Linked DNA regions of Arabidopsis thaliana. The protein of the gene in region 4 interacts with the protein of the main gene of each other region in a biochemical or structural test. Each region holds a gene or a part of one and is shown on either strand. Other genes may lie near its edges. The genes, in order: INH3, PIN1, PRSL1 and TOPP4.

Region 1 (6,965 bases), 3.3 Mb from region 4:
TTTAACTCTCTGGCGTTGTAGATGTTTCTGGTTTTAAAACAGCGTACACTACATTTTGTTATGCTTTTTCTCAGTAATGACACTTCTTAAGACTTGACACTTGTTCAGATCTGATGTTGTACCTATGAAAGATCATCGAAGAAGTGGTTATTCTCAAAGAGAAAATGGTTGCATGATTCGATCTCTACTATGAAAAATGTCGAAAAGTCGATACAATAGAAAGATTGTAAGGTTCCATCTCTGACAAAGTAGTCACTTGTACTCAAACAGACCAAGGAAAATTGACCTCCTGGTAGTAATTAAGTGATTCATTTGAGCTACAAGGAGACTCATTATGATCCATGGACCGCTCATTGTCGCGTGTAGTACCACTCATTGGGTCGAAGTCTGAGTCCAAGATTCCTTGGTGAAACCAATTGTGAAGATCTTGTGGCATTTGTTGAGCAAGAACCTTTTCTTGTTGCTTCATATTACAACCAGGATCATCTTGAGGGAACCTTCTCGAAGCTTCTTCTCTAAGTAGAACCACTTGTGCTTGTAAACTAACAACCTTAAGAACAAAGTCAGTGAAGTTACTTGTAAGTACACTAGAGATGATGAAGCAAAAGCAAAAAAAAATTATGTATACATTTCCGAAGAAAAAGTATAATACCTGTTGTTGGAGGGAGAAGATTTGGGAGACGCAGCCGTAAATAGGATCATGGAGACGAGAGTGAGCCTCGTAAGAGATGGTTCGTACGGCGTCACATCGGTCATGATCAGGGAGATGAGAAATGAGCTTAGAGAAGTTGCTAGCTCCAAACACTTTGTGAATGGCTGCAAAATTAGAAGATCCTTCTTCGTAGCAAAAGTATGGTGCAAATACACAACCCTCTACACATTTCCTACGCAAGAACTTGCATCCTCCACATGGTGAGCCTAAACCTCCCATTCTCAAAACGTAATTATAATCTATTGATATTAACCAACTATTACTATCTTGTAGGAATATTAATACTTCATTACTTATACTCTTCTAGTGACGATTATATAGTGCACGAGTGTTTATGGTAAAGGACTAAGGTGGGATTTATGATAACTCAACTTGTTATTTTACATATTTGTCTCTCTAATGGCTTACAATTACAAGATTGCAGCTTTTATATTTTCCCTCAAGTTTATATTGTAAAACATCTCTCTAATATTCAATAACTCGTTGTAATATATTATTGAGATTAAACTCTTAAGGTGGAGAATATTCTTAAGAAAATATTGAGAGAACCATATTAATATTAAGATCCGATCAAATGAGAGATTTGGTTGACGTATAGGACAAAACAATGAGTAAACATGAACCAAACCCAAGTTGCTTTTTGTTGTGGTTTTAGCTTTTTTTTAATTCATAACTAATTTACTCTCTTATTTTATTTAGAAAAATAAATTAGAGTTTACTTTTAGTGTTTGTTTAGTTGAAAATTTACATGTACTTGTGAAATTATGTTAAGATTGTTGTCATTATTGCTTAATTTGGAAAACAATAGTTTAAGATTTAACAATGCTCAACATATACACCACATAAGTGATTGAGATGTGTGTAGAATAAGAACAAAGGCATTTGATATTAGTAGTATATGAGACAAGTTATTTCTATATCTCGATTTAAATATTTTAAAATGCTCTCAGTTTCGATCAAACTTTACAGACTAGAAAAATAGAGAGACCCATGATTATCCAGCCCACATATTAATCATGAATCATGATTAACATCAAAAATATTCCAAAATAATTGATCAAGTACAAAAGTTAAATTATTCGATAATAATGAACAACTGATAGTGGATTTATGACTTAATGTTGGTTTAGTGGAGATTAAAAATAGTAAGAAAAATTTGAGTTTGAAGCTTTATTTTTGTTTTCTTATCTATGTTAAGGATTTCGGGTGTCTTTAGATATCCTAACTTGTGCCTAGAGTTTGCGGAAAAGACGGAGTTTTGGTCAAAGAAGGACCGGGGAACAAAGAAATAACAGAACCAGTACGGCCATGGGATCGGTCTCACCAATGACTGATCTAGGACTCCTCAAACAACCCTCATAAGCCACATTGGCCGTGCCCATCAGTCAAATGCAGATCCAATATCCCTGGAGCCAACTAAATAACCCGCATCGATCAACCATCATGGTCATAGAGCCACCGATCTAGCCAACCAAACCATCCGACCAGTAGCTACATCGTTCTGCCATATCGGTCATATTTTTTTATCGATCCTAATCACAACCCATCTGATCCAGAAGCTGCATTGATCCCAACATCGGCCAATGAAACCCAAACATTATACTTACCCTTTGCAAATCCTATTCTACTGGGAAAATAATATAGTGCTCATCTTTTAATTGATGAAACCCGAACATTGCATTTTGAGAAATAGTATGCAGTCGCAAAAGCAAAAGCAAAAGCATATTCAAATGTAGAAAGAAAATATAACATCCTTGTAATTCTTTAACTAATTAGCAATCTTCAATGATTCACATCATTTTCAACAGAGTATGAAGGAGTTAACATTGCAATGAATCTGCAAATTACTTGTACATATACATAACGCCCAACCAGGGTTAGATAGGAGAAGAGACCAAAACAACAAATGTGTGTTCTTCCATGATCTATTAAAAAGCTTCAATATATAGTAACGTGAAAAAACCTGATTGATTAGTCAACGGCTTTAGAATCATTAGAAGAAGATGCCTCACCAGATTCGGAGTGTTCATGGTTATGATCACAGTGATGGTTGTTATCATCTTCTTCTTCACTGTCATCCTCATCAAAAGGCTTCTGTTTATGAAAGATGCAACACTTCTTCGAACTCTTCTTCTGCATAAACTCATTGTCTACAGTCCCATCTTTCCATGAAACTTTCTTCTTCTTCCGGTTCAACCGAAGCACTAATCTTTCAGTAGGTTGTGATTGAGAAACAGGGTTTTCTAATATGACAGAAGTTGTTGCTGAAGAGGAAGGCCTTGTTGCTGTGCTCATAGCTGAAGATTAGCTTTCAAAATCTGCATAAAAGACTAATTTCATAAGGTACCAAAATACAAGAACAGAGAATAAAAGTTCTTAATAGTAACAACTAACAACATGCTTAAGAATGACAAGAGCTAAAGATAAAAACTAAGACCTTAAACAAAATCGTAAAACAGAACAAAGCCTTTAGGGTTCATTCTTTAGGTAAACAAACCAAACAGATGCTATTTCTCTAACCCTAAATTCATTGCCTACGAGATCTGAACCCTAATCATTCCTAATTCCAGGGGATAAACACAAATCGGTGATATGAAATTGAGAATCAAATGTTGCAGTAAACAATAGAGAGACCTAGTTTCGATCGTAGAAACAATAGCGAAACCTAAACCTAGGGGAAAAAAAGATTCAAAGAATCAAATCGACGAAGAAGCAAACCTGTGAATCCCCAAGGAGGAAGGGACGCTTGTTGAATCGAGAAACTTTTTTTTTTTTTCGTTTTGTTTTTTTTTTCTTTCGCCGATGGAGAAATTTAGTCGCTCCAACCAAAAAAAAAAAAAAAAAAAAAATTCGGTCTAATTTTATATTTATTTTCTAAGAAATGTTAATATATATATTAGAAAAAAGACTAATACAGTGTAATTAATTTTGAGAAAACTATAATGTTAACTTATTTGGGATTCGAAAACTGAATATATAGAATGACTTTATAAGTTACTCATACTCATAGTGAGGTTTAGTTCAGATTTTTACATGGATGGATTTGATTAAATCCAATTATGTATATTTAAGTATTTAACTAATGCAGAATTTAGATCTTATTTTTTTTTTTGCTTATTATTATGCTGGGCCGCCCCTAAGACAGGGCCAAGGAAAATAGAAAATGATCTGGTCATAAAAAATTGGGCTATAAGAGTAAAATAAAACACACAAACAAAAACATCCGTCTCTTTCACTTACACTTTCACTTCACGTTTGCGACTGTGTCGTCGTCAAGCTCCGGATCTCATCGGCGTTTCATCATAATTATCTGTCCATCTATTCACCGTACGACTCCGTTTTAGAAATCTGTAGATGTCAATTTGAGAGAAAAGACTGTCTTCATTACAACACATTTGGGACAACAAGGATCACTCATGGCAGTGGTGGATGTTCATCGTTTCGCTGAGTCAATCACTTGCCATGCTTGGAGTCCTGATCTCTCCAGTATGTTTCTAACACCTCTCTGATTTTGTGATTCTCTTCTTTCTCTCTTCCGTCGTTTTTCTGTTTTTAGAATTATAAATGAGGAGGATCTTTAGTTAGTTTTTCTGAATTGACTTGTGTTATTCTTATACATCTTGGTAATCAAGTTTCTTCTAAATCCCTATAATTGAGAATTTTCGAGTCAATGTTTTATATGTCTGTTTGTCGGTGTCTCTTGTTAGGAGCACTTGGTATCTAGTATTGTACATTAGTAGATGCGCTTTTCTAAACAGATGAACCAAATCTATTGTTACAAATGATTTAACGTCTGTACTAAAGCCTGTAACCATTTATGTGCTTTGACATTTGTTTCGTTTTTCTTGGTAGTGGTTGCTCTCTGTCCTAACAACACTGAAGTTCATATCTATAAATCATTGTCTCAAGACCACTGGGAGAGGTTACATGTCCTCCAAAAGGTGAAACCTTTCTCTCTCCCTCTCTTTCTGTAACTTTTGAACTTGCACTCCTTTTGCTTTCTCTTCTTGGGAATTCCTTACTTTCGTATATTTATGTATTCTCATTTCACTGATCACTTGTCGCTGATAAGTGTTGTATAGACAGCTTGAATCTCCCTTACAACAACTTCATGATTATTGTTCGTCTTGTTGCAGCATGACCAAATTGTTTCTGGAATAGATTGGAGCTCAAAGTCCAACAAAATCGTCACTGTTTCTCATGACAGGAACTCGTAAGTTGCTACCTTTGATATACTTTGAGAAACTCCAAACCTGTTAATCTTAGTCCTTCACTTTTTTTCGTTCGTTGAACTGAGTTTAGAATGCTTCTTGAAGGTACGTCTGGAGCCTGGAAGGAGCTGAATGGGTACCAACTCTCGTTATTCTTAGACTAAATCGTGCTGCACTTTGTGTCCAATGGAGCCCCAAAGGTAAATGTTTAATTTTTCTGGTTCTTAAGCTTAATTTCCGTAATATATCATGTAATTTTCCTATAATTTCTACAGCTTCTAATCTATGTTCTCATCTTTTTGCTCAATACCCATAGAGAACAAGTTTGCTGTTGGAAGTGGTGCTAAAACTGTTTGTATTTGCTATTATGAGCAAGAGAATAACTGGTATTTTCTTCTTCTGCTCCTAATTCTCATTATTAGTCCTTGATTTTTTCTTTGGCAAGTTTCCTGACTTCTTTGCTACGAATGGTGTTGTTGGTCTATGTAATGATATTATCTTGTCTTATGTACTGGCATGATATTAGCACCAATCATATTTTTTATTATCTTGGCATGCATAACTGTGTATTGTTTAGAGATTTTAGAAAGATACTTTCATGTAAACTTTTAGTATCTGACATTGCTTGGCTTTACTGTTTGCAGGTGGGTCAGTAAGCTAATCCGGAAAAGGCACGAATCTTCAGTCACATCTGTTGCTTGGCATCCTAATAATGTACGTGCAATCAACAGAACCTCTTGTAGTTCATGTAGCCAAAATATTAAGCAGGCTCTCTGTAAAAGCTTTCTCTACCAAAAATATTCTATAAGTTGGCCACCAGATTGAGTATAGAGTACATGATCCCTAAAAATAGAATATCAATCTCCACAAACTAGTTAATCTTCTAAATCATTTTTTCTCGTATGCTTTTTTATGTTGCTGTGCTCTCTGATTGTCTGTTATGCATTAGGTTCTTCTGGCAACGACATCAACAGATGGAAAATGTCGGGTATTTTCAACATTCATCAAAGGAGTTGACACAAAGTATGCTCATTACTTGAACGTCTACTTTTAAGACATTTTTTCAAACATGAGGCCATTTCTTATTTTTCTTTCAATGGGCTGATACAGGGATTCAAAAGCAGGCTCACCAGCGGAAACGAAATTTGGGGAGGTTCGACTAGTTTGGCTGGCTTTCCTTCTTTTAGTAAATATTATAATTCTTGTGCCATATATATGTTCCGTCTACTCTCTCATCTAATGTTAGGGAGTTTTTTTTTCTACTGTGGCTTTGTTGAAACAGCAAATTCTTCAGCTTGATCTCTCATATTCTTGGGCATTTGGTGTTAAATGGTCTCCAAGTGGAAACACCTTAGCATATGTAGGTCAGAAAATCCTTCAGACTTGGGATGTTTTTCCATTGCGCTCTACTGAAATAATACAATGGAACTTCAACTTGGTTGCAGTTTTTACTACCATCTGTCATACTTTGCGTGTTTATGTAATCATGTATAGGTCATAGCTCCATGATTTACTTTGTTGATGATGTTGGCCCTTCTCCTTTAGCCCAAAGCGTTGCATTCCGAGATTTGCCTCTTCGTGATGTGGGTCAGCATCCACCTTTATTTTACTTTTGAGAACCTGGTTTCTCCGGTGTGTTATGTCCTGAATTGATATATTATGGGGAAATTGCTATTTCAGGTCCTGTTTATTTCTGAGAAAATGGTGATAGGGGTTGGATATGACAGCAACCCGATGGTATTTGCTGCAGATGATACTGGAATATGGTGTGTAACTCTCAGAAATATCTGCTTAAAATTCTCTTTCTTAGGGGTTTGCATACTATCAAATTTTCAGTTCTTTTATTCCTCTTAGATCACAGGCCGGATTGTTGGTTCTGAAACGAACCACTACCAATAATTGCTTCGTTTACAAGTTTTTGTATTTGGTCTGTAGGAGCTTCATAAGATACATTGGAGAGAAGAAAGCGGCATCTTCAGGTTCCAGTTACAGTTCGCAGGTACATACCAAATCTTCTTTCTTATATTGCAATATGTCTGGTT
Region 2 (9,504 bases), on a different chromosome or scaffold from region 4:
TCATGACGAAAGTAGATAATGAAAAACATTTGAGTTGGAGCTTAATGAAGCTGACAAGTGTCACGCCTCTACTTTAATTTTCCCATTTTACCCTCATCCATCATTAACTTCTTTTACGCATGCCCCTCCTGTTTCTCGCTCTGTTCTTTCTTCTACTCCTTTATTGTTTTCTTCACGTTTATAACTATTTGTTGATTATTTCACTTCAACATCGTATTAAAAATAAGTTAAAGACAAATTAAATAGAGTAAACCCATTCATAAAAACAACATAATCATTAAGGCTGAGTCGGATGATATGTGAATAGCCTATTTTTCCGGATATCCTCCAAATCAAGTTTTATGTCGTCGATTTGTGTGTGTGTGTCCATCATCTGTTGTATTTGTTCAAAAGGGCTTAAAACATTTCGTACCAAACATGAATCTTCATTAGTCATCATCCGTTCATTAGTGGGATTATTTGTTTTGATTACAATTACAAGGCATGCTTTAGCGAAGCGTGTTTAAGCACAAACGCATGGACCTTCAACATGCATTATTTTCGGGTTGCGTGAAAAGCTATGCTTACATTGTACTAACTTTTAATTAAATTAATCATTAAGTTGATTTCTTTTAATTTCATGCAGTTGTATACGGTACTTATGAGTTCTGATTGATAACCAAACTATGAAGTTTTCTTTTCTGATTCATAATTTATCCATTTGAGTTTTTTATTCAACCGTCTATTTCTAATTGATTCTACAACAATTAGTCACCCAATGACTATGAGACTCATAATAGTTTGAATAATTAAACTATACAATTGTGGCAAATGGCTATGCATAAAAACAACATCTTTTGTAATTTTTAAGGCGTGAGGAAGATGTATAAAGTGAATAACCTACTTTTCAAATACAACGGCTAGCTGGACATCTCGCTATATATTGTTATTCAAGTCTTATTTAGGTTTTGAAAAATAATCAAGTACAATAATTTTCTTTCTCATGAATGTTAAACCGAATAGAGAAGCCAAGCAAAGATATAAAAAATACAATGGGAGGCTTCCACCGTAGACAGTCCAATGATCATCTACATTTCGACCATTAACCAGTAACGACTAACGAGAATCAATATCAAATATTTTCTTAAACTCGGCAACCATTAATCTTCTGTTGATAAACTTTAAAAAAATTCATTATAGTAATCTTTTTATTTATCTTTTAGCCAATAAAAAGATTAGTCAAATTTGTAAATTATTCCATTGGCGTTGTCGCCAAAGTTTCATTTCAAAACCACATAGTTAGTTTATACTTCTTATTAAAAAAGAATTATGAGTTCGAGCGATTTTGTTAACTAGTGATATTTCGGTCTATATAAATTTTGAAGAAAACCCAAAAGAAAGCATAATTTGATGCAAAACATGTATCCACTTATCATTCCCATTGATTAACGTATTTATTGAGATTAGTTTGTCGACTTTTAGTATCAGCCATAAGACTCACTTTATGTATATTAAAGCAGGTCAATATAGATCATAAAGTGTTAATTAGTCAAAATTTGCTTTATTAAACCAAACTATCTTACTCTCTTTTCCATTTTTCCCGTTTCAAGTGTTTGCTAAAAGATCAATTTTAATTTTCTCGTTTCAAGTATTTGCTAAAAGGTCATCCATCACCCATAACCATAAGTCAAGCCGTGCAAACATAGAGTATTAGAAAAAACGTTAATTTGAGTTCAATATTACACAAAGTCGCAGTTGTAACAAGGATTTGCACAACAAAAGATTGAAAGATTAATGGATTAGTGACAAATAATTTGAAAGATCCAAAATATCATTAACTATATGGAATGTGAAAAAATCCTGCAATTTTTTTTTTTTTTTTGCCGTGTTAAAAATTCAATTCTTTCAAAGAACCAATTTTAAAATTATTTGTCAGTAAAAAAAAATAGAAACTACTTGATTTATAATTTTTAATAGAAAAATGATGTTAAGTCATCAACTCTTTTATTTTTTCGTAACTTCTCAACATATTTACTTTATTCGGATTGCATAACCTACTTTTTTTGTGTGTATAGTCTCTTTAAGCGCAAGAAATGGCAAGGAAAGTCGAATTATATTAGTACTATATATTATTATTATGCTTAAAAAAAAGTTGAAAACATTGGAAAAATAAAAAGCTGGAAAGAAAAAAAAAAGAAGAACTGTGTTTGTATGGGATGATGAGAAAAATGAAGAGCAGACTGTTGATGGAATATTGTGTTTCCTCAAATATCAACACTCCTCATTATATCATCAACCCATTGCTTTTTGTACGGACTTTATTAGTAGTATTAAAGAACACATCAGACTGATTTGTGTAAGCAAACCAGAACCACCCTCTTTTCAACATTTTTCTTTCAAAAAACTTCTACGTATTTATGTTCAATAAAACTTTGTTACTAATTTTCTCAACGAAATATATTTTATAAAACTTTGTTAGTAATGTTATACAGTAAACAGTAAAAGAAAATAAGTTCCAAGATGAGCGATCAAAGGATTGAATAGTTCATAAATAATTCGTATGCGCAACTACAACTGTAAATGATAACCTATGCAATGATAACTCACACACACCCATCTCACATGAAAAAGTGATTTCGACCTTATGTTAGTGATATCACATCTTTTCTTTTATCTCCACCCACAAAGTCTTTGGTTAGGAACTAGTTTGTTCAATTGCAACCATTTTTCCAAAGACTTTCAACCTCTCTTCGGAGAAGACTTCTATCTTTAAAACCAAAATTTTCTAAGTTCATATAAACATCAAATCGAGCCTTATATCATCACTTCAATGTGTATTTATCTTCTGTTGTGATTTATCAATTGAAAGTCAATACCAAAAATCCCATCATACTAATCACAATAATTTATAGCAAAAATAAATTTAACAATTTTTAAACATGGTAAAAATATAAATTTAATAATTAGTATAGGGGATAAATTGATCAACCGAATAGATTAATTCATAATTTGAAAAGGCCAAAAAAAAAAGAGAGAGGCAAAAACAGAGGCTCTGCTTTGGACTCCGCAAAGCGCACAAGGCCGCCTCTTTCACTATCCCCAAAGCTCCACCACGCACCCATCAACCACCATTTTTATTTCGTTTTTATTACATTCAAAAAAACTTCTTTTTGTCGTATTTCAATCAAAATTACATCACACACACTATTATGTTGGAATGTTTAACAAAACAAATAAATATGTTGAGCTATTCCAATTTTACATTTAATGTTTTTTTACTCCTACACGTAAACTACTTTTGAATATAATATCTAGAAACTAACCAAATAATCGAAAACGAAAATAATAAAATCAGCAAACAGTTTTAGCTTCATTAACAAAATATATATATGTTTAATTAAAAAATATGGTATTTTCTCAACGGACAAAAAAATAAAATAAAAAGAATATAAAAATGTGGTCTCTTCTCAACACTCACTTTACTCTTTTTTCCCTCTTCACCACTTCTCTCTCAAACTAAAGACAAAAGCTCTTCTCTCTTCCCTCTCTCTTCTCCGGCGAACAAAAGATGATTACGGCGGCGGACTTCTACCACGTTATGACGGCTATGGTTCCGTTATACGTAGCTATGATCCTCGCTTACGGCTCTGTCAAATGGTGGAAAATCTTCACACCAGACCAATGCTCCGGCATAAACCGTTTCGTCGCTCTCTTCGCCGTTCCTCTCCTCTCTTTCCACTTCATCGCCGCTAACAACCCTTACGCCATGAACCTCCGTTTCCTCGCCGCAGATTCTCTCCAGAAAGTCATTGTCCTCTCTCTCCTCTTCCTCTGGTGCAAACTCAGCCGCAACGGTTCTTTAGATTGGACCATAACTCTCTTCTCTCTCTCGACACTCCCCAACACTCTAGTCATGGGGATACCTCTTCTCAAAGGCATGTATGGTAATTTCTCCGGCGACCTCATGGTTCAAATCGTTGTTCTTCAGTGTATCATTTGGTACACACTCATGCTCTTTCTCTTTGAGTACCGTGGAGCTAAGCTTTTGATCTCCGAGCAGTTTCCAGACACAGCAGGATCTATTGTTTCGATTCATGTTGATTCCGACATTATGTCTTTAGATGGAAGACAACCTTTGGAAACTGAAGCTGAGATTAAAGAAGATGGGAAGCTTCATGTTACTGTTCGTCGTTCTAATGCTTCAAGGTCTGATATTTACTCGAGAAGGTCTCAAGGCTTATCTGCGACACCTAGACCTTCGAATCTAACCAACGCTGAGATATATTCGCTTCAGAGTTCAAGAAACCCAACGCCACGTGGCTCTAGTTTTAATCATACTGATTTTTACTCGATGATGGCTTCTGGTGGTGGTCGGAACTCTAACTTTGGTCCTGGAGAAGCTGTGTTTGGTTCTAAAGGTCCTACTCCGAGACCTTCCAACTACGAAGAAGACGGTGGTCCTGCTAAACCGACGGCTGCTGGAACTGCTGCTGGAGCTGGGAGGTTTCATTATCAATCTGGAGGAAGTGGTGGCGGTGGAGGAGCGCATTATCCGGCGCCGAACCCAGGGATGTTTTCGCCCAACACTGGCGGTGGTGGAGGCACGGCGGCGAAAGGAAACGCTCCGGTGGTTGGTGGGAAAAGACAAGACGGAAACGGAAGAGATCTTCACATGTTTGTGTGGAGCTCAAGTGCTTCGCCGGTCTCAGATGTGTTCGGCGGTGGAGGAGGAAACCACCACGCCGATTACTCCACCGCTACGAACGATCATCAAAAGGACGTTAAGATCTCTGTACCTCAGGGGAATAGTAACGGTATAGTCCCTCTATAACTTTGTTGTTTTGTTTTCGCACCCTAATTTATTTTCTTTACAAAAACACCCCCAAAATTTCTCTATGTCCTTCGATATTTATGATTTGGTTAAGGGGTTCTTTAATTGTTTACATGTGTTGTTGCCTTACTTTAGACAACCAGTACGTGGAGAGGGAAGAGTTTAGTTTCGGTAACAAAGACGATGATAGCAAAGTATTGGCAACGGACGGTGGGAACAACATAAGCAACAAAACGACGCAGGCTAAGGTGATGCCACCAACAAGTGTGATGACAAGACTCATTCTCATTATGGTTTGGAGGAAACTTATTCGTAATCCCAACTCTTACTCCAGTTTATTCGGCATCACCTGGTCCCTCATTTCCTTCAAGTACTGTTTCAAACTTGTCTTATTTTCACTTTACTTTGGTTTTGGTCTACTATTTTAACCACTTTCTTGATGCATAAAGGGTCAGCCTTGAATGCGTATATGTTTGAAAGTTTTTTCTGATAGATTGAAGTAACAAAAGATTTGAGAAAGATCTCTTTATTGGAATTAAATTGATGTGGTCTGTGCAGGTGGAACATTGAAATGCCAGCTCTTATAGCAAAGTCTATCTCCATACTCTCAGATGCAGGTCTAGGCATGGCTATGTTCAGTCTTGGTCAGTTCCTTTTTCTCTTTTCTTTTATTTTTACCTCTTTTCATTTATTACATAATTAAATACCATAAAACAGTCAATTGTTCTCTTTATTTCTGACCTTCATTCTTTATGGTGTTTTTTAAATTTTAAATGATTTTAAGAAAAAAAACAAATCATGTGGAAGCATGATTCTCTCTGTTTTCTTTTTCTTTGAAGTTTTTTTGAAACATGTTTGTATCAAAAAAGCAAACAAAACTGGCTTCACAGCAGAAAGCATGCTCCACAGTTCTCTGCTTATCATCATAACATGTCTCTCCCTTGAATAGGAGGAACCATTTTTTATTTTCTCTTAAAGCAACAAACAATTTTTTTATACCTAATATTGACCCCCTTATCGATGAAAAAACTTTCTTTTTTACCTTGTTTATGTTTCAGTAGACTTCCATCAACTGATTATAAAATTTGTGCTTAATCATGACTTTATGGAATGAATAGTTTAGGATAACGATAATGATGATGTTAATGTTGTGGTGGTGGATCAGTGGCTGTGATGATTATTTTTATGTCACTCTTTTGCAGCTAAAAACAGTGTATAAACTTAAATTAACCAAAAAGCAAAACAATAATAAATTATTTGTTTAAATTTGTGGCTTTTTTTGGATGTGTTAAAGGGTTGTTCATGGCGTTAAACCCAAGAATAATAGCTTGTGGAAACAGAAGAGCAGCTTTTGCGGCGGCTATGAGATTTGTCGTTGGACCTGCCGTCATGCTCGTTGCTTCTTATGCCGTTGGCCTCCGTGGCGTCCTCCTCCATGTTGCCATTATCCAGGTAGTTTTTATTTGCATGATCAAATATGAAACACTTCTGTTGTGTCTACTGTCGTTTATACGATTTCTAACCATTATTTTTATTGACAACAAACAGGCAGCTTTGCCGCAAGGAATAGTACCGTTTGTGTTTGCCAAAGAGTATAATGTGCATCCTGACATTCTTAGCACTGCGTAAGTTTATTAATCTATTAAATAGTTTTGTTGTTATAACAATAAATTTTGTTGTAGAAAAAAAGTTAGGTTGGTTTTGCCTACATTAATTATGATTAGGTGTATATATAAATATATTTTTGTTAACGTGAGTTCTGATTTTTGTTGCAGGGTGATATTTGGGATGTTGATCGCGTTGCCCATAACTCTTCTCTACTACATTCTCTTGGGTCTATGAAGAGATATTACCAAAACACAGGGACTTTGTTTTATTCTTTTGTGGGATGATGAATTGTGAAAAGAACAATGCCCTTTTTGTTGAAAACCCACAAATTAAATCAGAAGCAGCTTTAGAGAATCTTTGAGGATAATTGAAGCTCTTGAAGAAGAGAAGAAGAAGGAGACTTAAGTAGGAGCTCAGCAAGTTTTACCTTTTTCTTAATTTTAATGAACATTCGTGTTTCCTCTTTTGGTAGGTTTTAGGAATTTGTAAAAGCTTTGGCTACTTTTAGTGAATTAAAAACGTTAAGGAAAATATCAAATTTTGTGTGCATGCTAAAAGTGAATTGGTGTGTATAGGTCTAAATCTCACCAAAATAAGAAGTGTTTTAGCCATTTCAAAAGTTAAGTTCACTTAACATTTCTATGTTTCGTTTGCCTAAATGTGAAAAATCAGAAACTAAAACAGTAAAGTACATCTTCCACAAAATGTTTGAGAAAGGGATTTCTACGGGGGATTTGGGAAAATTTAAAACGTAGTCATGAATATTAGAAACTTTACAATAGCTTAGGTGGGAAGGTATGAAATAGCATGTGACTATAACAACACAGACGACACGAGTATTGGATTCAACAGAACACTCGATTAAATATGTAGAAGATAGGGGACTTGGTGCATGCGTTACGTTATTCGACTTGGTCAAGATTCCTCTTCACTGCGTTTGTGGAATCTTGAAAGATTCGTTTAGTGTTGTCAATTGTGTATCCTTTTACCGATTCTTCTCAGAATCATTACATACCACTTAGATGCTGATGCTTTTTATGAATAAAAACAAACCTTCATATTTATACGACGATCTTATATAATGATAAATCAAATGTATAATACTTAACTTGGTTTGAATTGTACTCTCGACATGAAAATCATTTAATTGCTAAAAATATTGGCTTGATTTAAATATGTGGAATGATGAATTTTTATTTATTTTAGTTACCAAATGAATTTATTAGAAAGTGAAATGACTGTATACAAAACAAAAATAAAAATAAAATTGATAGTAATAAATATATGAAGGCGTAATAATTAGAATGAGGAAAATAGTTAAAGAAAGCGACCCTAAATTTATGGCACGCCTCACCCTCACGTAAAAAAAAACCATCATTTTATTCTGCATGAGACGGCTGTAGCCGCCGTTGCATTCTTCAAATTTTCAATGTTTCCAATTAATAAAACTATTATTATAGCTCGATTTGTAAATATTTAAGCCTGCAATTCACATTGTTCAAATTCATAAAATAAAAAAAAACAAAAGTAATGGGTGAGGAATAAAAAGAAGAATGAGACAAGAGAGAAGAAGAAGACGCCGTGTCACTTCGCTTTCCTACTACAACACCAACATTTCTCAGAAGCTTCTAATTCTGTGTTCATTCTCTGCTCTCAATCAATGGTCTTCACCATTTATTGAAAAATATACGTGAAAATCTAATATTTCAGAAATTTGATAAACCATGCATATGATATAACTATCATTTAGTCTAAAGCCTTTAATTTTGGACCCATGAGATTTTGATATTACATGAGATATTTGAAAGGATCGAGGTTTTCTCATAAAGAAGTTTTTTTTTTGTCGGACTCATAAAGAAGTTAATCTCGTCACGGAAAAGATTTCGTATTTACTTAAGATTTTTAGTGAAATTTTAAAAAAAAATTAAATGCAAAGGATGACGTAAAAAAGTATAAGGGTATAAACGTAATTTCGTAAGGTCATAGTTGCAGATGTTAGTGTCTCTGCCTGCCACTAGACGGTGTTGGGTCGGCCGTCGCCCAGACAGAGTATTGAGAGCTTTTTGTCATTTGTCTTTTTCATTTTATTTTTGGGTATTATTTATTTATTTTACTATTGATTCTGTTTTTTTTTTTTCAAAATGTGATTGTATTTTGCTTTTGTTACATTTTTTTTCGCCCGAAGAGATTGTGAGAAAAAAAGAAGATTTTCCTTTTCTTTTGTACGGGTAATTAGATACGATATGACGACCAATAAAAACATAATTGCTTTGCTTTTTTTTGCGATATACAATACTATACAATATATTGGAAAAACTAATTTATAGTATCATTATTTACGGCTTTATCTTCACCTAATTATTTAATAAGATATTGGAAGTCGACACATGATTTGTCATTACACTGCTCCATCGATTATTTTTTTCATTTCTAAAAATACGGCCAATATTTTCCTCTGTCGTGACCAAATAGGTCAACAACAAATTTGAATATTAAACTGAAAAGACGTATACATAATGAAAAAAAAGTAACGTTTTTTTCATCGAAGATAAAAGGATTCAACCATTAAAAATATATATTTTAAGATTTGAAGACCGGCTTTACACGTATACATTATCACCACAATCCCATAAACTATTTTTATATCATATGTTTGAGTGACGGTAATTCCTTTTGTCGCGTTTAAAACATTGGTCGTTTGTTGCACGTGAAAACATACTCCGACTTACTAAAACCCTAAGGATTTACTAAAATAGAGTTATCTTATCTGTCTTCTAAAACTATAGTGAATTAGAATCTTTTTATAAACTAACAAATAAATACAAATGCGGCTTTGAATTCGAGGAACAATCCTTGCTCCCATGTGCACGCCTACACACATACACTACACATTCCTATATCCTAACGTAACAACAAACTAGTTTATGTGCAGGGTCGACTCTGAATAATTTTGGGCCAAAGACTTTTAAATGAAGCTTTAGAAAATTTGGGCTAAAAAAATAAAAAATAATTAATTTTGGACCATTTTGGCTAGTATAATTTCAGAATGTTTTTTGAGGCCACAGCAATTGTTTCACTGGGCTGTG
Region 3 (5,444 bases), on a different chromosome or scaffold from region 4:
ATGGAACGTCTTCACACCACCGGAGATGCTTGCGTAGCTCTCAAGTCTTTGATCATTATCCATCACATCGTCAAACACGGTCGTTTCATCCTCCAAGATCAGCTCTCTGTATTTCCAGCTTCCGGTGGTCGGAATTATCTGAAACTTTCTGCTTTTAGAGATGAGAAATCTCCTTTGATGTGGGAGCTTTCTTCTTGGGTCCGATGGTAAGTTCACAAAAAAAAAAAAAAAAGTTTCGACTAAGTTTGGATTTTTATATGTTTTTTGATTATTATTGTAGGTACGCTTTATATCTTGAGCATCTATTATCAACTTCAAGAATCATGGGATTTTTCATATCTTCAACATCGAGTACAATTCACAAAGAGGAATACGAAGAAATGGTTTCTTCTCTTACCAACTCTGATCTGCTTCGTGAGATCGATGCTCTCGTTGGTCTACTAGAAGAAGCATGTAAAATTCCGGATCTACCCTTCTCCGGTGGGAAATCCCTCGCAGACAAAATCACTCAGTTGGTAGGAGAAGACTACGTGTCTTCGATCAACGAGCTTTACACGAGATTCAACGAGTTTAAAGAACGATCCAACACTTTGAGCTTTGGAGATACGATCGAGCTTGTCTGTGCTTTGAAGCGGCTCGAGAGTTGTAAAGAGAGGTTGTCTGAAATCTGCCATGGGAATTGGAAGAGAGGTTGGATTGATGGGTTCTGGGGTTTGGTTCTTGAGGTCAAGGGTATTATTGGTAATTTAGAGGATAATTATGGGCAGATTGAGAAATCGATTGTTGGGTTTGGGAAGAGGGATAAAGGATACGAATCGGCTCGGTTTACTGATCGGTTAATTATCGGTTATAGTAATCCTGTTCGGTTTTCTTCGGGTAGATTTTCGAATGTTGATCGGTTTAATTTTCCGGTTTCTGGTCGAGTGTTGTGTTGAGTGGACGACTTTTATATTCTTTTGATTTTTTTTTAAATAATTTTTTTTTTGGTCAGATGTCTTGTGAATTTTAAAAGACAATAATCAACATGTAGATGATTATTCCATTATATGTGTTGTTGATGTATTAAGTCATTTATCGATGAGAAAACTAACTGGATTTTGATTTAGTCTGTTTATCGTTACAAAGTTCGGTTTATTATACAGATTTAACTGTTATGTAAAATTTAACATTGTTATGTAAAATTTAACATTTAAAACCTTCAAGATGCAAAAATCTAGTAAATGCAACTATATTAAACAAGACTTTATTAATTAAAAAAATAATGAAGAAAATTACAATCAGAACTTCTTCCCTCAGGTTTAATCCCATGGTCCAATCAAAGTTATACAAATATCAAAAAGATCCCAAAAAGAAAACAACAACAAAGAGGACGAAATGTATTAGGGAAAAACAGAGAGATCTCTCAAACAAATCATGATAAGAAAAAACAAAGGAGAGTGAGAGAGAGAGAATGATAGAGTAATACGCAAGGCACTCTTTAAGCCAAAACGGCGTACAAGGCTCCGGCAATGACTGTGCTAACAAGGAAAGCTTTGTTAGTCAATGCTGAGTCAGCTACCGGCCCGTCTGCTCTAGGAGCGGGGGCCGGAGCTGGTGTTGGACCTGATGGGCCTGGAGCCAAAGCATATGGTTTAGGAGGAGAAGCGACAGGGGAAGTTGTGGGCGACGTGGTCGGGGGTGAGACGGTTGGTGGAGTTGTTGGAACCGGAGTGGGTTCGTTGGCTGGAATAGGGGGTGAAGCAACGGGAGCCGGTGGTTCTGCAGTTGGTGTAACAACTGGAGAAGGAGACTCTACCGGAGGGAGAAACGTGATAGGTGCCGGAGCCGGAGCTTGAGCTAGACATGAGGCGGCAAATAGACCAAGAAAGATCAGAGCTTGCAATGTCTTAAGAGCCATTTCTCTCAGTTTCAATGTCTTTCGTTGTGTTTGACGAGAGAGATAGAAACCTGAGAAAACTCTTGTCTTTTGTTGGTGGTGGATAAATGAAGGAAAATGTGTTCTTAATATATAGCTAAGAAGATGTATATTTTATTTTGATCTTTCAGACTCTTTAAACATGCAGGCACATAGAGATATACATGGCTTATTTATTTATTTGATTTGGAATATCAGAATTAATAGTCTTTACCAAGTATCTTGCATTGAAGTTTTCTTGAAGAAATCGTCTACAATGAGACTAAACCTAGTTCTAAACTTCTAATTGATAAAATTACAAAAGTATAATTTTAATGATACTAGACAAAGGTTAATAATGTCGTGTTAAAATTGGTAATTTGCAATAGTTGACCACTAGTACTAGTAGATAACCTCATTTTTTGGTTTACCGTATCTTGTAGCAGCAAATAAAAGAGTTTACATCAAATTAAGAAAATGACATTATATACCAAACCAAACAACTTACTTACCTCAAATATATAAATCACAATTTGAACCCAAACAACAACAAAAAAAAATGAAAAAGAGAAGAGTCAAGACCACGCGCCATACTTGGTTCCCACTAAGGTTAACGACGAGGCAGACAAGCAACTTATCTTAATCTGTGAATGATTATGACATTTATATTATTATGAATAAGTTTTCATATACTAATATTGGGTACTACAACAGAACCTTCATCCTTAACCAAAACCAAACCAAACCAAAATTTGAACCGAAATTCTAAAATCAAAACCAAAACCGATTCTAGAGAAGTCATCCTAGGTGGCTGCCCAAGCTCCGGTCTACCATATTTGAACAGAGGAACAATGTACTCCATAATCTGCAGTCCATCCCTCCTCTGCTCATCTTCAAGTCTATCGATCATAAGGTACGCAATACCATCTCCGTTTCGGCGTCATAGGAAGAGTTGGAGAAATCTAATGCTTCTCTAGATCCGTTAAATCACACTCTTAGCCATATTATATTATAATTTTTTTTTTTTTTTTTTTGCAGATTGCATTTTTTGTTACGTAATACCTTAACTCTTCATTTTAGTGATATTAACATTAATAGCAACAAAAAAGAGAAGTCATCCTAATTAAATACCATTGCTGTAATTATGAGTTTTGATTCCCACAAACAAAAAATGTAACGTTTTAAATTATATGTATGATTCAAATGGCCATTGTTGATATGTTTTAAATATGATCTGCTTTTCAAGTTTTTTTAATAAGATATTAAAAAATAACTTTACTTTCTAAGTTTTTAGAAAATTAGCCAATGATTTTAATTCTATAAGTCATCCTAAAAACATTCACAACCACCATTTTTTTTCTTTCACATTCAGAATCCAATAATAACATAACTTTTTTGTTTTAAAAAAGTTTTATAGCCCAAAATCTACATAATAAAATAAAATCAGAGATCTTTTTTTTAATTTTTGCTTTCTCTCGTCTTCTCCATTTACTATTTTTTCTCTTCAGCGTTTCTCGGAAAAAAATAAAATAAAATAAAAACTCTACCCCACATCCCAAATACAACGACAATAAAAAAACGATACGATACTTGCGCAATCGGAGAATGGAACAACTGACGAAAGACGACACTGAAATCGGAGGATCAGAATTTGAAGCCACCGCATAGTAGTGATATGAAACATGTGGATCAAGTGGCGGCAAAAGGAGCCGAGGATGCGAGTTCTGTGATTGCTTTATCTGATGAATCTACTACGCTACACGTCGAAATCGATTCAAAAGGCGATCGAGCACCGAATCGAACATCGTCCGGATCGAGAAAATCTCCATTGGAATCCCGAATTGGTTTCTGAATCTCCCGCACCGGATGAGAAGGCCTTATCCTCATCTTCTGCCGCGAGATCTAATCCGTACGTCGCTCGTGCTCCTACTGAAACTTCGGATGCCTCGTTGAAAGGTACTGTGTTTAAAACTGTGTCAGTATCTTTTTGGTTTATGCTATGAGATGTGTAAGTAACCGTTAAAATCTCTTTGAAATTGGATCAGAAACGATGGAATCTGTGAAAGGTGTGCTTGGGAGATGGGGAAGGAGGGTTGGAGAAGCTGCAATGAAGGCAGAGAGCCTTGCCGGGAACACGTGGCAACACCGTGAGTTTCCGATCTTGTATTGTTGCATCGTTAACCCTGAGAAAATATACTATGAGCTGAGATTGTTGATATTTGGGTGATTGTCATGCTACATGGTATATCACTTCTTGATGAGTTAGATATTATAGGTTTGAGCAATGGAGTTTCAAAGCGAATATTAACTTTTGTTTTTTCTGTTTATTCTGTGATTTGATGGGATTATTTATGGTAACTAACTATTAAATCTTGATATTCATCATAATTAGTGAAAACTGCTCCGAGCTTTGCGTGCTGCAATGGGAAGAATTGCACAAAGTACAAAGGTTCTGGCAGAAGGAGGATATGAGAAAATTTTCAGGCAAACCTTTGAAACTGTTCCAGAGGAGCAACTGCAAAATTCATTTGCGTGCTACTTATCAACATCAGCTGGTCCAGTCATGGGAGTTCTTTACGTATCCACTGCTAAACTTGCTTACTGTAGCGATACCTCTCTCGTACAAAAATTCTGGTCAAACTGAATGGAGCTATTATAAGGTAATCCTTTTTATTTTGAGACAATCGAAATTTTTGCTATAAATAACTATTGTAGAAAGCGACCTCATAGATAATAGGAATAAAGTGAAGAACGTTAGATTCTGTGAGTAATTTCTTGTGCAAACTATGATAACACTAGGTAGTAATACATATCTTCATCATCTTAAACAGGTAGTAATCCCATTACATCAGCTTAAATCGGTTAACCCTTCGATAAGCACAGTTAATCCTGCAGAAAAGTACATCCAGGTAATCTCGGTCGACGACCATGAGTTTTGGTTCATGGGTTTCTTAAACTACGAAGGCGCTGTTACATCTCTACAAGATACATTGCAAGCCGGTGCCTCAGTCTGTGTGATATAATACTGGTGGATTCTTGATCAGAATAGCATTATTTTGGTTGCAAACTAAATTATTTGATTCTTATTCTTAATTAGTTACCATGTCTTAATACACCGATAGCATTTCTTTTCTAAATTTTCTCCTAATCATATTATTGCTAATAAAAAATATAATTGGATTTTAGGATTTAATGCTGTTTTGAGATGATAGTGTATGGTTGTAAAACAAGATTTGGTTGTTACTCTTACAATCTCCATCGCACTAGGTGATTAGCAAACATAACTCTTCTTTCATTCCCTTTTAAATAGAATTTGCAAGAAGAAAAAGTGCAAACATAGATAGATATCATAGAAAGAGAGAGACAGTAGGAGAGATAGAGTGAAAAATAGGGTTTAGGGTGAGGGATAAGGTTATAGGGATTTAGAGATTTAGGGGTTTAGGTTTAAAGGTTAAGGGTTAAGGGTTAAGGGTTAAGGGTTAGGGGTTAAGGGTTAGGGGTTAAGGGTTAAGGGTTTAGGGTTAAGGGTTAAGGGTTTAGGGTTTAGGGT
Region 4 (8,144 bases):
ACCACCACCATTCGAGCCACTCTTGAAAAGTTTACTCACCCATTTCATCAACTTCCATTTCTTATCTCTATACGTTGACGAAGATGACGACCCAACTTCCCCTGTAATCATCAAAACGTTAGGTTTACGCTTTTAATATTTAGTCTCAAGAATAGAATTTGGTAAGAAAAGAAAACACACCGAAGATGCAAGGATTGGAGATATGGCTGACACGAGCAACACCGTAGGAAGAAGAAGGAGAAGAAGAAGAGGAAGAGGAAGAAGAATCCATGAGGATGGAAAAATGGCCCCCACGTGATTAAATATACTTGAAAACGTGTGAGTAAAGCGAAAACGACGGCCGGAGAGAGAAGCAAAGAAGAGAAGAGGAGGAGGAAGAAGAAGGAAGAGGGGAGAAGAAGAAGAAGTTATAAGTCATTACAATTTGTTATTAGAGAATGAAAACATAAATGAAAAGAGAAGAAAGAAAGAGAGAATCTTTGCAGAAGAGATCGGGCAAAAAAAAATTAAAAGAGAAAAAGAAAAGGAAGAGATGCTTAGCTTCTGAAAGGAAAGGAACAGAGAGAAAGAGATGTTTTTTTAAGAGAATATTTTTGTCTTTTTGGTTTTTGCTGAGGCGGAAGAATCCTTCAAGCAACGGTGTGGGGAGGAGGAAGATAGTTGAAACCTTTTAAGCTTCTCTCTTTTTACACTTTATTTTTTTTTTTTTTGTTGGGGAGAAAAACCAAAAAGTTAGATTTGTAAACGAAAGCAAAAAAAAATTCTTCTTTTTGGGTTTTGATGGAGACGCTCGTTCCATCGGCTCTAACTATTTGCCTTTAAACTTTGGTTTTGTTAAATTTTCCTTGTTTTTGTTTTTATGGTCTCATACCCTCACCGAGTTTTTAATGAATCTATAGCTACATTGAAGATATGTCATTTTATTTTTTAACTAAAACTTTAGTTTCAAAATTTGTATGATTCTTGTAATTGTTTTTGGGTTTCAAATATCCGACTCATGAATCCATGAGAAGTAGTATAACAATGTTTGCACTATACATAATATGGGCGTATTAACAAAGGTCATACTCTAATACACGATAAAGATGCGCTTTTGCAACGTTACCACAGACAACTTTATAATGGGAATTAAGCTTTTATGACATTACAAACGACGGACCAATAATAATATTGTTATTTATAATTTGAGGCATCAATCTATAGGAAGGTCGTGACCGGTGATGACGCAGCAAAGGTGAAAGAGAGGCTTCAAAGTGGAATCAGACACCCAATTTTTACAGAACAAAAGCCTAACCTATTGTCATGTTTAAGTTCTTTCTTTCGATTAAATTACCTTTTTTTTGGGATCAAATTAATATTTTGGGTTAAAGACAGCATCAGATCAAATCTAGCTTTTTTCAGCAACAGTTTCCACCTTGAGATCTGACCATTTCTTTATCAACTTGCTAAAGTCGATCTCTGTATGGACGATCCATAACTTATTTTCTATTAAGGCTGCTTGTTTTTGGGAATTCTCATTTAAAGAAAATGCTTATCTTTTCTTTTTTCTTGTCAAGTTATATATTTTATCTTAAGTATCTATACCCCCAAAGATGTTTACTTATTTTTCATCATGAAAATGTTAAAACATTTTAAGCATTTGCGTTAGTTTCCTATTACATCATTATATTCCTCAGTTAATCTTACAATTTTTTTTGTGAATGTAATTAATCTTACAATTTAAAATGTCTGAACAAATGTATTTGTTCTAGACTTCTAGTTCAACAAGTATTTATTTCTTGTTAAGAATGACTTTTTAAACGATCAATCTTTTTTTATTTTTGGTAACATAAAAACGATCAATCTTATTGAAACTTTCCTACACATGGATCAAGTTGTATTAGTCTGATACAATTATTGTAACAAAATAAAGTATATATATATAGCGAAGAATTTAGCTGAGTTTGAGTAGCCGATGCAAAAATGCTGCATATGTCTTTATTCCTTTAATCACCTAAAATACAAGAATTTACTTTCTCTTATCTCATGCATGAGACATCTTATCCAAGTTGTTATAAATCTCTAACTTTGTATCTGTAAAGATTTTTGTAGTAAAAAGCCTTGAGAGATGAGAAACGTGGAATTGAGTTGGAAAGAATGACTCAAAACCTTTACAATATTCACCCAAAAAAAAAGAGAACTTTATGATCGTAAAGAAAAGAAAGGAAAAGAAAAGAGACGACTATTTTCCATTGCATTGATGGGCTCTTTCAAGCCTCAACATACGGATCATTCCGACTTAATCCGGTCCATAAAATTTGCATTTGCATGTTTAAACGATATTGACTTTATGACTTTATCAACCAATGTAGGCCACCACTAGAGTACCGTACCTAGAGATGTTAATGATGGGTTAAAATCCACTGGTACCCAAAACACACATAAAATTTTAAGCTCATAGATCTATTTTTTCTGGAAATAAAACACAGGTTTAAAATGGGCTGGGTATCCAAATAAATAAAACACATATGGGTTTACCTCATTGGGTTATGGGTACCCACGATTTTTTTTAAAATCATTTTTCAAGTGAATCAACATTTTTTTGTCAAAAAAGATTTCACATTTTTTTCTCCTAAACCGCGATTTAACAGTTTACCACCAAAAAAAAAATCAACATTTTCCCGCCAAAAAAGACATTCAAAATTTTCCCGCCAAAAACGACAATCAACATTTTCCCGCCAAAACGCAATTCAACATTTTCGTGCCAAAAACGACATTCAACATTTTCCGCCAAAACGCAATTCATCATTTTCCCGCCAAAAACGCGATTCAACATTTTTCCGCCAAAAATGATTTCACATTTTCCCGCCAAAAACGCAATTTAACATTTTCCCGCCAAAAACGACATTCAACATTTTCCGCCAAAAAGATTTCACATTTTTCGGTCAAAAACACAATTTAACATTTTCCCGCCAAAAATGATATTCAACATTTTTCCGCCAAAAACGCAATTTAACATTTTTCCGCCAAAAACGACATTCAACATTTCCGGCCAAGAAAAGGATTTGACATTTTTCCCGCCAAAAACGCAATTTAACATTTTTCCGTCAAAAAACGCAATTTAACATTTTCCCGCCAAAAACGCAATTTAACATTTTTCCCATCAAATATATATGTAATACAAAAAATAAATATAATTTAAAATATATTTATAAGCAAAATATAGATACAACATACATATAATAGTATATTAACAATTAAACATAAATTATAAGAAAATAATAAAAATCAAGTTGGGTACCCACAGGTAGTCTCGGAACAATCAGGTTTTTTCGGGCTTTACCCACTAAATCAAAAATCCATCTGGGTTTTTTAAAGTTGGGTTTTTGGTGGACGGATTTATTTTGGATTCAGGTCGGGCTGGGCTTTTTTACCCACAACAACATCTCTAACCGTACCAATTCATTTTCTATGTAGAATTACATAACTATAGTTTTTCCTTACAAAAAGGATGAAAAAATTCTGGTAAATGATACATTTTGCATCCTTCGTGTTCTTATAAATATACTAAACACATCATTATTCACACAACTATAAGAAGAAAAAAATAGGTACGAAACATTGTTAATAATCCCAAATGATTGATTGAAGTTACCACATTTATTCTTTGAATTACTTGTTAGGTTGATTAGTACACAAAAGTAACACGAACCTACTAAACAACTTGTTAGATCTCATAAACGGCCCATTACCGATTAAGCTAAAGCCCGTTTTGGAATTTCACTAAACGACGTCGTCCTGTATCCCTCATCTTTTCTTCTTTAACTTGTCAGTTATTTTCTCAGTTTCTTTTATTTCAATTTTCAAAGGTGTTAATTTCGTCCCCATCTCCGTTTCTGATACTTTAATTAATACTCATTGAAAAAATCAATTCGAACTAAAAAAAATCTCGAAAGTCTTTGCGCGTAATTTTCTTCTTTATTTTGTTCTCACTGATTATTTTGCATTAGCTCTTTTCTTTTTTGGGGTCGAAAAAATTAGGTTTTTTTTTGGGATTCTGTTGATGGCGACGACGACGACGACGCAGGGGCAGCAAACGGCGATTGACTCGGCGGTTCTCGATGATATAATCAGGCGACTCACGGAGGTCCGGTTAGCTAGACCAGGAAAGCAAGTCCAGCTCTCTGAAGCTGAGATCAAACAGCTCTGTACTACAGCTAGAGATATTTTCCTTCAGCAACCCAATTTACTTGAGCTTGAGGCTCCCATCAAAATCTGTGGTATCTTCCCAATTTGATTCGTTGATTTTAATAATTTCGTCGGAATTGATTTTAGGGTTCTTATTGTGTTTCTTAGATTTTCCAAAAGTGTGAACTTGGTTAGGTTTTGGGGATAAAGTTGTTAGACCATTGTGAGACCTTTTTGTTTGATGTTGTGAAGTGACTAGAATCTGAGTGAGAAATGTTTTGGCTTTTTGTGGATAATGATTGAGTGGAGAGGCTTATCTTGTTGCTTATGATACTGTGTGTGTTCATGAAAAATCCTATCCCGTTCTGTGATTTCCTTATGGTTTGTGGTGTACATGTCTTAAACCAGGTGACATACATGGGCAATATAGTGATTTGTTGAGGCTATTTGAGTATGGTGGCTTCCCTCCTAGTGCCAATTATCTATTTCTTGGGGACTATGTGGACAGAGGCAAACAGAGTCTTGAAACAATATGTCTCTTACTAGCTTACAAGATCAAATACCCTGGCAACTTTTTTCTACTAAGGGGAAACCACGAATGTGCTTCTATCAATAGGATATATGGATTTTATGATGAGTGTAAAAGGAGGTTCAATGTGAGAGTATGGAAGGTTTTTACTGATTGTTTTAACTGCCTTCCTGTTGCGGCGCTTATAGATGACAAAATATTGTGTATGCACGGTGGACTTTCGCCGGATCTTGACCATTTGGATGAGATTAGAAACTTGCCGAGACCAACTATGATTCCGGATACCGGGCTTCTCTGTGATTTGCTCTGGTCTGATCCTGGGAAAGATGTTAAAGGATGGGGAATGAATGATAGAGGTGTTTCATACACCTTTGGTCCAGATAAAGTTTCCGAGTTTCTTACGAAACATGATTTAGATCTTGTGTGTCGTGCCCATCAGGTAGATATTTTTCAATCATGTCTCTTTGATACTACTGCTTTTGTGATGTTAACAAGGGAGTTGGATTTTTTATGGCAGGTCGTGGAGGATGGGTATGAGTTCTTTGCTGATAGACAACTTGTGACGGTGTTTTCAGCTCCTAACTACTGTGGTGAATTTGATAATGCTGGTGCGATGATGAGCGTGGACGAGAACCTTATGTGCTCGTTTCAGATTTTGAAGCCCGCTGAGAAGAAGACCAAGTTCATGATGTCCACAAAGATTTGATACTTTCATTGAGGTTAGTCAATAGTCTGTCCTTGGCGGAAACCAAAACGAAACTAGTGAATGAAAGGATTCTCTTGCACTGATTTGTTCATGTTATTCATTACAAAGTCAAGTTCACATTTCTGTTGAACATGATTTCTTTTGGATTCTTCCAGGCTAAACTTTTTACTTAAATGGGTCTTGATTTCGGCTTTTCCTTCTTTCACAGATGGATTTGGTCTTTCTTGAGAAATTGATTGAAACCATTGAAGATTTGGCTGTGAAGTGTGTACTTATGGTAGTGAGAACTCTTGGAAAGGAGCAAGACCTTCTTAGTCTTCTAATCTCTTTCTTCCCCCAAATTCACTTTCAGCATTTTTTTTCTATCTTCTTTTATGGGTTTTACATGATTTTCATCTGCCTGTTGGGATCACATAGTTGGTGTGTACATGCATATGGTCGTTTCTTGGATTTTAGGACACCAAATGAAAATGATGTTATAAAAAAGGTTTAGTATGATGAGTTTCGTCTCTTAAGCGGCATGTGAAAGTGAATGAGACATAAGTAACGCATATGAACATCTTCAATTAACCATCATAAATATCGAATGAGCATCTAAATTGGACAACAAGTTTCACACATGTTCATCATGTTTAAGTAAAAGAAGAATTTGAGAAGCTATTGAAAGTAAAGTCCACTGGTTTTGGTATGATCGTGAGTGAAGTGATATATGATCCGTTTGGTGGACTCGGGAAATAGAATAGAATATAATAATTGGAGGGACTGAAATTTTATGTTGTTCTTTGTTGTGGATGAGAAGTAAACACGGAAGCGATAAGTTCGTAAAAGTAACTTTTTTTTTGGGTTGCAAACGGGAACCAAAACCACATGTATCCAATTCTTTAGACACATATCATGTCATTATCCTATCTTTGAATATGTTCATATTCTTAGTCCATTTCCTCACCAGAAGATGTTGGACAAAACGTATCCTTTGATCATAGTATCCTCAAACATTTCCTACATAGTATTGTGACCATGTCATATTCTTCTAGACTTCCTAGTTCCTACATAGATTATGACCATTTCATACTATTCTCAAAACTCAAACAAACAAAAAAATCAATTTTGAAATATAATTATTTCTAATTTTCATATTTTTGTAAATTGAATACACAAGCGTTCGTCGTATACGACCATTGTTTTCAGCGTGTAAGTTTAGCAAAAAAAAAATCTTAAAACTTGTGGTTCATTTGGAAAAGTAAGAAAATATACACGAACGTAATAAACACAAACAAACAATTGAAACATGAATGTACAGGTTTAGTGTTATTATCTGACCACATTGTGCGCGAGTGTGGACCATGTGGACGTTATAAGTTTCATCAAACCAAGCATACATATATATGTGCGTCAACGTAGACCCTCAAGTTTTCTTGATTTTCACTCGAATCAATACCGTATACTCATGTTTTATCGTAACATAGAAAAAAAAAAAATCATGGACTTTCTCAAGAATCACCAAAAAAAGCATGCAGCTTCATAATCGAAGAATAAGATTCTTTAAATTGATTGATGAGCGTCTGCACTATGAAATGTTTCGATTTCAATCTTCTCCTCCAATTTTCTTCTTCATTAGTCCTTTTTCGCTCCCAATATCCTTCATGAAATTTCTCTATAAATAGAGACATAAAGCATTAACATGCAATGCAACAAAACTTAAGAATATTAGAGTCAAATAAATTTTAAAAGAAAGTTGACAGTAAAAAAAAGCCTTAAAGAAAAAGAATTAGAATTAGACCTTATAAAAAAAAAAAAAAAAGAATTAGAAAGATTGTTCTGGTGAGTGAGTGAGGGATGGCTATAGCTTTTCATACCTTTCTTCTTCAACTGCTACTCTTCTTCTTTGCTTCTTTTGCGGAAGCAAACGACTCGCGAAAGGTGAGAAAAAATGGACCTTTCTTCTTTAACTAATAGCGTAACGTTTTTTTGGAGATACATATAACGACGAATGTTTGAATTTTAACATATAACTTCTTGCTTTCTATGGTACAGACATACCTTGTGCAGATGAAAGTTGGTGGACATCGATATGGGTCAAGTTCCGGTCACCAGGAACTACTAGGCGAAGTTCTTGACGACGATAGGTTTGATTTTAATTATGCCTTATTCTTTAAGTCATATAGGTTTTGATGAGATATATTGGTTCAAATTTCCCAAGAAGCCAATCCTCTATGTTAACACATGCAGCACCTTAGCGGATGCATTTATCTACAGCTATAAGGAGAGCTTCACCGGTTTCTCGGCAAGTCTCACACCAAGAGAACGGCAAAAGCTGATGAGTAAGACCACAACTGTTTCGTCACGTTTGCATTTCCTTTTTTTTATACAATTGATCAGTACAATACTATAACACGCAATGACGTAAAAGCCAAAAAATGTAGAATTATAGCCTACTGCTATATAGATTGATATCAATGCATAGTAGGGACGTGGTAATAACACACGGGTTATGTTAATGTTGATATAGGGAGAAGAGAAGTATTGGAAGTTTCACGTAGCAGAAACCTAAAGCTTCAAACGACAAGATCATGGGACTTCATGAATCTAACATTAAAAGCTGAGCGAAATCCCGAGAATGAGAGTGATTTGGTTGTGGCTGTCATCGATTCCGGCATTTGGCCCTACTCTGAGCTCTTCGGTAGCGATAGCCCTCCCCCTCCTGGTTGGGAAAACAAATGCGAAAACATAACTTGCAACAAG

The links.
Region 1: the proteins of TOPP4 (region 4) and INH3 form a complex in vitro, tested with the Arabidopsis thaliana proteins (one study listed by BioGRID).
Region 2: of the proteins of TOPP4 (region 4) and PIN1, one has a biochemical effect on the other in vitro, tested with the Arabidopsis thaliana proteins (one study listed by BioGRID).
Region 3: the proteins of TOPP4 (region 4) and PRSL1 form a complex in vitro, tested with the Arabidopsis thaliana proteins (one study listed by BioGRID).

What each region holds. Positions count from the first base shown.
Region 1 is NC_003071.7:13,346,951-13,353,915, reverse strand, and holds INH3 (inhibitor-3), read right to left. Parts: upstream 3,548-6,965; 5' UTR 3,431-3,547; intron 3,031-3,430; 5' UTR 3,008-3,030; coding exon 2,684-3,007; 3' UTR 2,426-2,683; downstream 1-2,425. Other genes in the region: LBD14 (LOB domain-containing protein 14), read right to left, coding at 263-550, 653-931; ARPC1B (actin-related protein C1B), read left to right, coding at 4,129-4,198, 4,565-4,653, 4,849-4,925, 5,029-5,123, 5,240-5,309, 5,568-5,637, 5,873-5,946, 6,034-6,076 and 4 more. UniProt on the Arabidopsis thaliana protein: Inhibitor of protein-phosphatase 1 (PP1). Binds to and inhibits PP1 activity. Required for early embryogenesis progression.
Region 2 is NC_003070.9:27,656,225-27,665,728, forward strand, and holds PIN1 (Auxin efflux carrier family protein), read left to right. Parts: upstream 1-3,448; 5' UTR 3,449-3,547; coding exon 3,548-4,793; intron 4,794-4,945; coding exon 4,946-5,180; intron 5,181-5,368; coding exon 5,369-5,454; intron 5,455-6,104; coding exon 6,105-6,262; intron 6,263-6,358; coding exon 6,359-6,435; intron 6,436-6,585; coding exon 6,586-6,652; 3' UTR 6,653-7,029; downstream 7,030-9,504. UniProt on the Arabidopsis thaliana protein: Acts as a component of the auxin efflux carrier; this activity is enhanced when activated by D6PK-mediated phosphorylation.
Region 3 is NC_003075.7:18,579,608-18,585,051, forward strand, and holds PRSL1 (GRAM domain family protein), read left to right. Parts: upstream 1-3,636; coding exon 3,637-3,850; intron 3,851-3,939; coding exon 3,940-4,041; intron 4,042-4,302; coding exon 4,303-4,472; intron 4,473-4,725; coding exon 4,726-4,917; downstream 4,918-5,444. Other genes in the region: AT4G40080 (ENTH/ANTH/VHS superfamily protein), read left to right, coding at 1-206, 281-935; AGP3 (arabinogalactan protein 3), read right to left, coding at 1,478-1,897.
Region 4 is NC_003071.7:16,623,388-16,631,531, forward strand, and holds TOPP4 (type one serine/threonine protein phosphatase 4), read left to right. Parts: upstream 1-3,828; 5' UTR 3,829-4,042; coding exon 4,043-4,259; intron 4,260-4,575; coding exon 4,576-5,135; intron 5,136-5,213; coding exon 5,214-5,402; 3' UTR 5,403-5,415; intron 5,416-5,610; 3' UTR 5,611-6,025; downstream 6,026-8,144. Other genes in the region: DAR2 (DA1-related protein 2), read right to left, coding at 1-101, 181-271; AT2G39850 (Subtilisin-like serine endopeptidase family protein), read left to right, coding at 7,239-7,322, 7,437-7,528, 7,632-7,723, 7,912-8,143. UniProt on the Arabidopsis thaliana protein: Serine/threonine-protein phosphatase that possesses phosphatase activity toward para-nitrophenyl phosphate (pNPP) in vitro. Acts as a positive regulator in the gibberellin (GA) signaling pathway to regulate plant growth and development.